Arabidopsis thaliana: one gene and its partner. The protein of the gene in region 1 interacts with the protein of each later gene in a biochemical or structural test. Each region holds a gene or a part of one and is shown on either strand. Other genes may lie near its edges.

What was found. Proteins that work in one complex are often made in the same cells at the same time.
Region 2: the proteins of CYCB2;1 (region 1) and CDKB2;1 form a complex in vitro, tested with the Arabidopsis thaliana proteins (one study listed by BioGRID).

What each region holds. Positions count from the first base shown.
Region 1 is NC_003071.7:7,662,426-7,666,178, forward strand, and holds the start of CYCB2;1 (Cyclin B2;1), read left to right. Parts: upstream 1-1,629; 5' UTR 1,630-1,738; coding exon 1,739-1,799; intron 1,800-1,906; coding exon 1,907-2,042; intron 2,043-2,130; coding exon 2,131-2,196; intron 2,197-2,274; coding exon 2,275-2,431; intron 2,432-2,517; coding exon 2,518-2,646; intron 2,647-2,732; coding exon 2,733-2,822; intron 2,823-2,896; coding exon 2,897-3,118; intron 3,119-3,214; coding exon 3,215-3,313; intron 3,314-3,402; coding exon 3,403-3,581; intron 3,582-3,685; coding exon 3,686-3,753.
Region 2 is NC_003070.9:28,720,847-28,724,599, reverse strand, and holds the start of CDKB2;1 (cyclin-dependent kinase B2;1), read left to right. Parts: upstream 1-2,049; 5' UTR 2,050-2,248; coding exon 2,249-2,475; intron 2,476-2,769; coding exon 2,770-2,911; intron 2,912-3,002; coding exon 3,003-3,064; intron 3,065-3,177; coding exon 3,178-3,289; intron 3,290-3,380; coding exon 3,381-3,474; intron 3,475-3,574; coding exon 3,575-3,644; intron 3,645-3,732; coding exon 3,733-3,753. Other genes in the region: AT1G76550 (Phosphofructokinase family protein), read left to right, coding at 1-35, 127-200, 312-422, 517-561, 639-695, 806-910, 991-1,107, 1,219-1,322 and 1 more.

The sequences.
Region 1 (3,753 bases):
CGATGGACAGTGTTCTCGTGCTCATGGTGATGGACAAAAAACTTGTAAAAGTATTTTTTCAATTTTTTTCCTCTTTTTGCAAACTTTCACAAGTTTTCCAATAGATTTCACAAGTTTTTCCAAAACAAAAGAAACGAAGGAAACTTGTTGTTGATACCATACATTGTTTTAAAAAAAAAAAATCAAGCATAGCCGAATTTGTTAACGTAGTAATATAACAATTTATTTAGCAAGTTTTTTAAAAAAATTTATAAGGTTTTTAAATCTCACGATCTGTAAATTAAATGAGCTTTTATAGATATGAACATATTTCAGCCCAAATATTAGAGAAAGATGACATTTCATTTGAGCTTATGAAAATGAGCATATTTTGGTCTGTAAAATTACAGTGTTACTCTTATTCTTCCTTTCTTCTTCCTTCTGTGACGTCGATTTTGGATTTTTTTTCTGTTTCTTCCAAAACCTTCATTGATCTTCTTCCTTCTTCTATACCTTTTGAACCCAATAAATCCAATTATATGCATGTTGCTAAAAGAAATATAAACCCTAAGAGGATGATATATATAGGGAACCCAAATGTTTCAATCTTATACACATATTAAATCAGTTACATATTTGAGAATTCAATTGAATCAACCTTTTCAATTACATGTTTAACAAGGAAGACAAACAAAGAGAATCAAAGATTTAATAAAATCTACACACATGTTGATGGGTAATTTAATTGTTTCTTTGATTGAATTATGGGAAAGGTTGTGTAGAAGAAGAAGAGGACAACATAGACGAGAAAAACAAATTAATTGCTAATAATACGAAGAGTAAAATCGTCAATACAAGAGAGAGAAGTACATAATTGCATAGACACATGATTTTGTGCATGTATCAACAACGACATATACTTTTAAGTGCTTTATTCATAATTGATCCGTAAATTAATTGTTACATAATCTTTCGAAAACTTCCATAACTTTTTTAGAACATTTTTTTTATCTGTCAAAGCTAGAAACATTAATGTGTTCAAACCATTATTGATATTCTTCATTGCCAATAGCCAATTTATGTTTATATTTAAATTCTAAATCCTGAAATGTAAGCTCTAATTCTAAATTCCAAATAAACACTCTGACAGGCCAGCAAAATTCCAAATACTTTAGTAAATATCCACCTACAAAATAAATTTCAAATCGGAAACAATAACTCCCACGGGCCAGCATAATTCTCAGTACAGAATCTTGTCTGTCTCATATTGAAACTTTCTCTTAAGAATAAGATAGACTAAAAAGCATGACTAGCTCTGTAAATGTGATTAATTAATAACCTAAGATTGTTGATTAAGATAAAACATAAAGTTTTAATCAAAAAGTTTGTTAGAGGCGCGCCTATGGAGCGTACAATTGTGTCTTAAAAAAAAAGGTTAAGCCACCAAAATAACAAAAAAGAATAATAATTTTTTTGAAATACGACGAAAGCCACATGCCTTGAACCAAAGTTACCGTTGTCTGAATATGAACCAAACTTAGAAGTAAATCGTTCCCTCATGATCCAACGGTTATATTCTAAATTCTAATCCTAGCCGTTCCTTTTTTAAAATTAAAAACTCAACACTTTTTTTTATTTTGTTTGTATCTTCCTCTTTTGCTTATTTCATCCCCTTCTTCAGATTCTCTTCGTTTAATGCTCTTCTTCTTCTACTCTCTTTGTGGGTTTCTCTTGTAATAATCACAAACCAAAAAAAAAAATGGTTAACTCATGCGAGAACAAAATCTTCGTTAAACCCACTTCAACGACGATTCTTCAAGGTAGTAGATGAATTTGTCGAGTAATATACGAGAATTTCGAGGTGTTTTACAGTTTGCGTAGGAGAATTCTGACAGAATGTGTTGTGTTCTTTTCTGGTTTTGTTTAGATGAAACAAGAAGTAGAAAATTCGGACAAGAGATGAAGAGGGAGAAGAGAAGAGTGTTGCGTGTGATTAACCAGAATCTCGCTGGTGCAAGAGTTTATCCTTGTGTTGTCAACAAGAGAGGAAGCTTATTGTCTAAGTAAATTTAACAAAATCTCTAATCTCTCACAAGTTAGTGTTTTTTTTCAATCTGATTGTGCTTATGGGTTTTGATTGATTTGAATCAGTAAGCAAGAAGAAGAAGAAGGATGTCAAAAGAAGAAGTTTGATTCTTTGCGTCCTTCAGTTACAAGGTACATAAAGCTTGAATCTTTCATTTCGTTTTTTGACTTTAAAGAAAGAAAGATCTGAGTTTGTTTTTGAATCTGCAGATCTGGAGTTGAGGAAGAGACTAACAAGAAGCTGAAGCCCTCAGTTCCAAGTGCTAACGACTTCGGTGATTGTATATTTATTGATGAGGAGGAAGCTACATTGGACCTTCCAATGCCAATGTCGCTTGAGAAACCATACATTGAAGCTGATCCAATGGTAACAACAACAAAACAGAATTCAGAATTTTGTTGATGGATTTAATTCATAAATCAATGATTTACAAGAAAATTTTGATTGGATAGGAAGAAGTTGAGATGGAGGATGTAACAGTGGAAGAACCGATCGTGGATATCGATGTCTTAGACTCGAAGAACTCGCTTGCGGCTGTTGAATATGTTCAAGATCTTTACGCATTTTACAGAACAATGGAGGTAAATTATGGTTTAGTTTTATCTGTTTTTGAAGTAATAAGTGGCTTGAGAGCTTCTTTAAGACAGTTCTTGATTTGAATTTGCAGAGATTTAGTTGTGTTCCAGTAGACTATATGATGCAACAAATCGACTTAAACGAGAAGATGAGAGCAATACTAATCGACTGGTTAATCGAGGTATATTATCAACAACATTCCACATTGTACTGTGTAGTTTGATAGAGGCTAAAGATGCTTGAGTACGTTTTCAGGTACATGACAAGTTTGATCTGATAAACGAGACACTGTTTCTGACAGTGAATCTGATAGATAGATTCTTGTCCAAGCAAAATGTTATGAGAAAGAAGCTTCAGCTTGTAGGGTTAGTAGCTTTGCTGTTAGCTTGTAAGTATGAGGAGGTTTCGGTTCCTGTTGTCGAAGATTTAGTACTCATTTCGGACAAAGCGTATACGAGGAACGATGTTCTAGAGATGGTAAAGGCCTGGCTTCTTTACTTAATAGAAAAAGTAATCTTGTCTCATATATGTTAAAGACATTCTTTGATTAAATGATTTCTTTCTTCTTTACAGGAGAAAACAATGTTGAGTACTTTGCAATTCAATATCTCGTTACCGACACAATACCCGTTCTTGAAAAGATTCCTCAAGGCAGCTCAAGCAGACAAGAAGGTTAGTTAAAAATAATGGACTTATGAATCAGTTTAACTAGAAGTTTGAATTTTAGAAAGGAACTAACTGTGAAACTGAAAACAAAACAGTGTGAGGTCTTGGCGTCGTTCTTGATCGAGCTTGCCCTTGTGGAGTACGAGATGCTTCGGTTTCCACCATCATTACTAGCTGCCACATCTGTGTACACTGCTCAATGTACACTTGATGGTTCCAGGAAATGGAACAGTACATGTGAATTCCATTGTCATTACTCTGAAGACCAGCTCATGTAAGTCTCTCTCTTTTTACCAAGAATGGTCCTTTAAGTCCATAAACAAAACTATTTGCAGGAAAAAAGACTGATCTTTTTAATTGTAATCGCGGGTTTCGCAGGGAATGTTCACGGAAGCTGGTGAGTCTGCATCAGAGGGCGGCGACAGGAAACTTAACAGGAGTATATA
Region 2 (3,753 bases), on another chromosome or scaffold:
AATCTGTGATGCTGTTCAAGCAAGAGCCGAACAAGGTCTGATAACTAAAACGAGCTTTTGGTATGTTGGAAGTGATGTCTTTTGCTTGTTCCCTAACTTTATTGATAAACTGTCTATTTGTATCAGACAAAAATCATGGAGTCATCCTAATTCCTGAAGGGCTTGTTGAGAGTATTCCTGAACTCTATGCTCTGTTGAAGGTAACGATTCAATACTGGCAAACATTTCTATTTATCATTTAATGTGCTATTTTTTATTGTTTCTTGAGTTCCAAAACATAGTAAGCATTTACATGTTGTTGTGCGATGCAGGAAATTCATGGATTGCTTAAGGAGGGTGTGCAGGTTGATAATATTTCTACTCAGTTGTCATCTTGGTCATCTGCTTTGTTTGAGTTTTTGCCTCCATTCATTAAGAAACAGGTTCTAATTCTTTGACATGGTACTTTTCTTTGTTTTTTCTCACATGTAAACGAGTATGTGTTCTTATGATAAATTGTCTTCTTTGTTTCTGCAGCTACTTCTCCATCCCGAGTCTGATGATTCTGCTCAGCTATCCCAGGTAAGAAGAAAGAAAATGATGGAGTTACTGTGCTATAAAAAGTTGGAATTCTAATTGCTCATTTACTTTCTTCTTAGATTGAGACGGAGAAACTTCTGGCTTATCTTGTGGAGACTGAAATGAACAAGCGCTTGGTATGTTGCACATCTTTTTCACTTGTCACAATCCATTTTTTTCAAATTTTTTTGAATAACCTTGCCTGAATATTCAAGTTGTCCCTAAAACTAAGTTTTGAAAATGACAGAAAGAAGGAACCTACAAAGGGAAGAAATTCAACGCTATCTGTCACTTTTTTGGTTACCAAGCTCGTGGATCTCTTCCATCAAAATTCGATTGTGACTACGCCTATGTATGTGATCGCCAAACTAAAATGCTATTGCAACTTCAATATTATGGACATTCACACCATTGATTATAACTTTGATGCAGGTTCTTGGACATGTATGTTACCACATCCTCGCAGCTGGTTTGAATGGTTACATGGCGACAGTGACTAACCTGAAGAGTCCTGTAAACAAATGGAAATGCGGGGCTGCGCCTATCTCAGTTGAGTTTTGTCTCTTATTTATAAGGCTAAAGTTGTTTAGTATATGTGTTGATTTCTGACTTCAAGTTTCAGTTTTACTGACCCCAATCTCTTTCTCTGTTTAACCTTAGGCAATGATGACGGTTAAGCGTTGGTCCCAAAATTCTGGTTCTACTACGATTGGTAGACCTGTAATTCATCCAGCTTCAGTTGACTTGAAAGGAAAAGCATACGAGTAAGCTTTTGTTCCTCACTCATTAGACAAAGATTAGAATGAACATGAAATCAAGTGATATAATTTGTCAAATGATTTTGCAGTCTATTGAGACAAAACGCGCAGAAATTCTTGATGGAAGATATGTACCGAAACCCAGGACCAGTCCAGTATGATGGTCCAGGTGCAGATGCAAAGGCGGTAAGTCTGTGTGTAGAAGACCAGGATTACATGGGGAAAATCAAGAAGCTGCAGGAGTATCTTGATCAGGTGAGGACGATTGTGAAACCGGGTTGCTCTCAAGATGTTTTGAAAGCGGCATTGAGTGTTATGGCCTCGGTGACTGATGTTCTCACTACGATCTCATCTTCTTCCACCAGCGGTCAGCAATTTGCTTAAAGATTTTTTTATTGTTTTGGTTTTCCCTTTAACCATAAACTTCATTAGCTCTCTCTCTCTCTCTCTCTTTCCATTTTGAAGTCGTCTTCTGATTTACGCAAACTTTATTGTTCAAAGTTGAGTTTAGGAAAAGGATATTCAAAGTTAAAGGATTTGAGTAATGCTTTTTTAATGAAGAAGTCTGTGTTTGGGTTCACTAATCTTCTTGTTGCCTTCTCGATCATAATTTGTATATGGTGCGACCAAATCAAAGTACCTACGGATATATATGACAAGTGGACACAAATGAATAAATGTAAAAATTAAAATTAAATACTATAGTACGTGGCAAATTAAAAAAAGGCGTTTATGAAAAGACCGCTCCTCCACGCTCCAGTTTGAATTTCGAAAAATCAGTCCGTTGTGAAAGCCCAAGAATAAGGATTCTATAATTTCAGGTCTCATTTAATTATATAACCTATCTACACTTTGATCTCCGACAATTCACTTTCCCAATAAGAACCAACTGAGAGAGAGAGAGCGCCGGAGAAGAAGAATTTTAGAGAGCGATGGACGAGGGAGTTATAGCAGTTTCCGCCATGGATGCTTTCGAGAAGCTTGAGAAAGTTGGTGAAGGGACATACGGGAAAGTTTACAGAGCCAGAGAGAAAGCTACCGGGAAAATCGTCGCTCTAAAGAAGACGCGTCTCCATGAGGACGAAGAAGGCGTTCCTTCCACCACTCTCCGCGAGATCTCCATTTTGCGAATGCTCGCTCGTGATCCTCACGTCGTCAGGTTAGGGTTTTACCTCTGATTCGATAAAATTGCCCCCATATTCTCGATCTTGTAGTCGCGTTAGGGTTTATATAGTCGATTTCTCACTATCTCGCTTGTTTTCCAGATTAGATAGATCTCAATTTCAAATCGTAGTAATCAGTTCGAAGAGTCTACTAATTGTTAGATGATTTGGCTCTGAGAAACTGTTGATAGATGTTTCCCTAGAGTTTGATCTGGATCGCTGTATCAGTTAGTTTTCCAGTGATTGCAAAATCAATTATATACGGAAACTTTATTTGTCATCTTTTTCAGGTTAATGGATGTTAAGCAAGGACTAAGCAAAGAAGGCAAAACTGTACTGTACCTGGTTTTTGAATACATGGACACTGATGTCAAGAAATTCATCAGAAGTTTCCGTAGCACTGGCAAGAACATTCCAACCCAAACTATCAAGGTTTTTAACCACCTTATTACTGTCATCTCTCTTTCTCGCTTCATTTGTGCTCACTTGAACCAAACATAACATTCTGAAAAGTTATTTGCAGAGCTTGATGTATCAACTATGCAAAGGTATGGCATTCTGCCATGGTCACGGGATATTGCACAGGTGAATTGTTCTCTGGCTTTCCCTTGTTTTCAACTTCTAAGTGAGAATGATTTTAGATAATAACTTGGAAGAGAGATTTCTTCTTCTTACTATTTCTCCTTGTTTCAAAACAGAGATCTCAAGCCTCACAATCTCTTGATGGATCCCAAGACAATGAGGCTCAAAATAGCAGATCTTGGTTTAGCCAGAGCCTTCACTCTGCCAATGAAGAAGTATACCCATGAGGTAATCAATGTTTGACACTGCTTCTTGCACTTATCCCACTTTGTATGTATTGTAGAACTTATGGTTTTGAATCGGTTGTTCATTGCAACAGATATTAACTCTTTGGTATAGAGCTCCAGAGGTTCTTCTTGGTGCCACCCATTACTCTACAGCTGTGGATATGTGGTCTGTTGGCTGCATATTTGGTATGTGTTCTTTTCAGACTCGTTGATTTCACTAGTCACTGCGATATCATCTTAAGTTACTAAACAACAACAATTAACATTGTTCCTTCACCATTTACAGCTGAACTTGTGACCAACCAAGCAATCTTTCAGGGAGACTCTGAGCTCCAACAGCTCCTCCATATTTTCAAGTAAGTCTTTGTTGATTCTTCACCTTTTACATGACAAACATAAGAAAACCTTTTTTCATTTTGCCGCTCTTTCCGGTGTACAACTCAGGTTGTTTGGGACACCCAATGA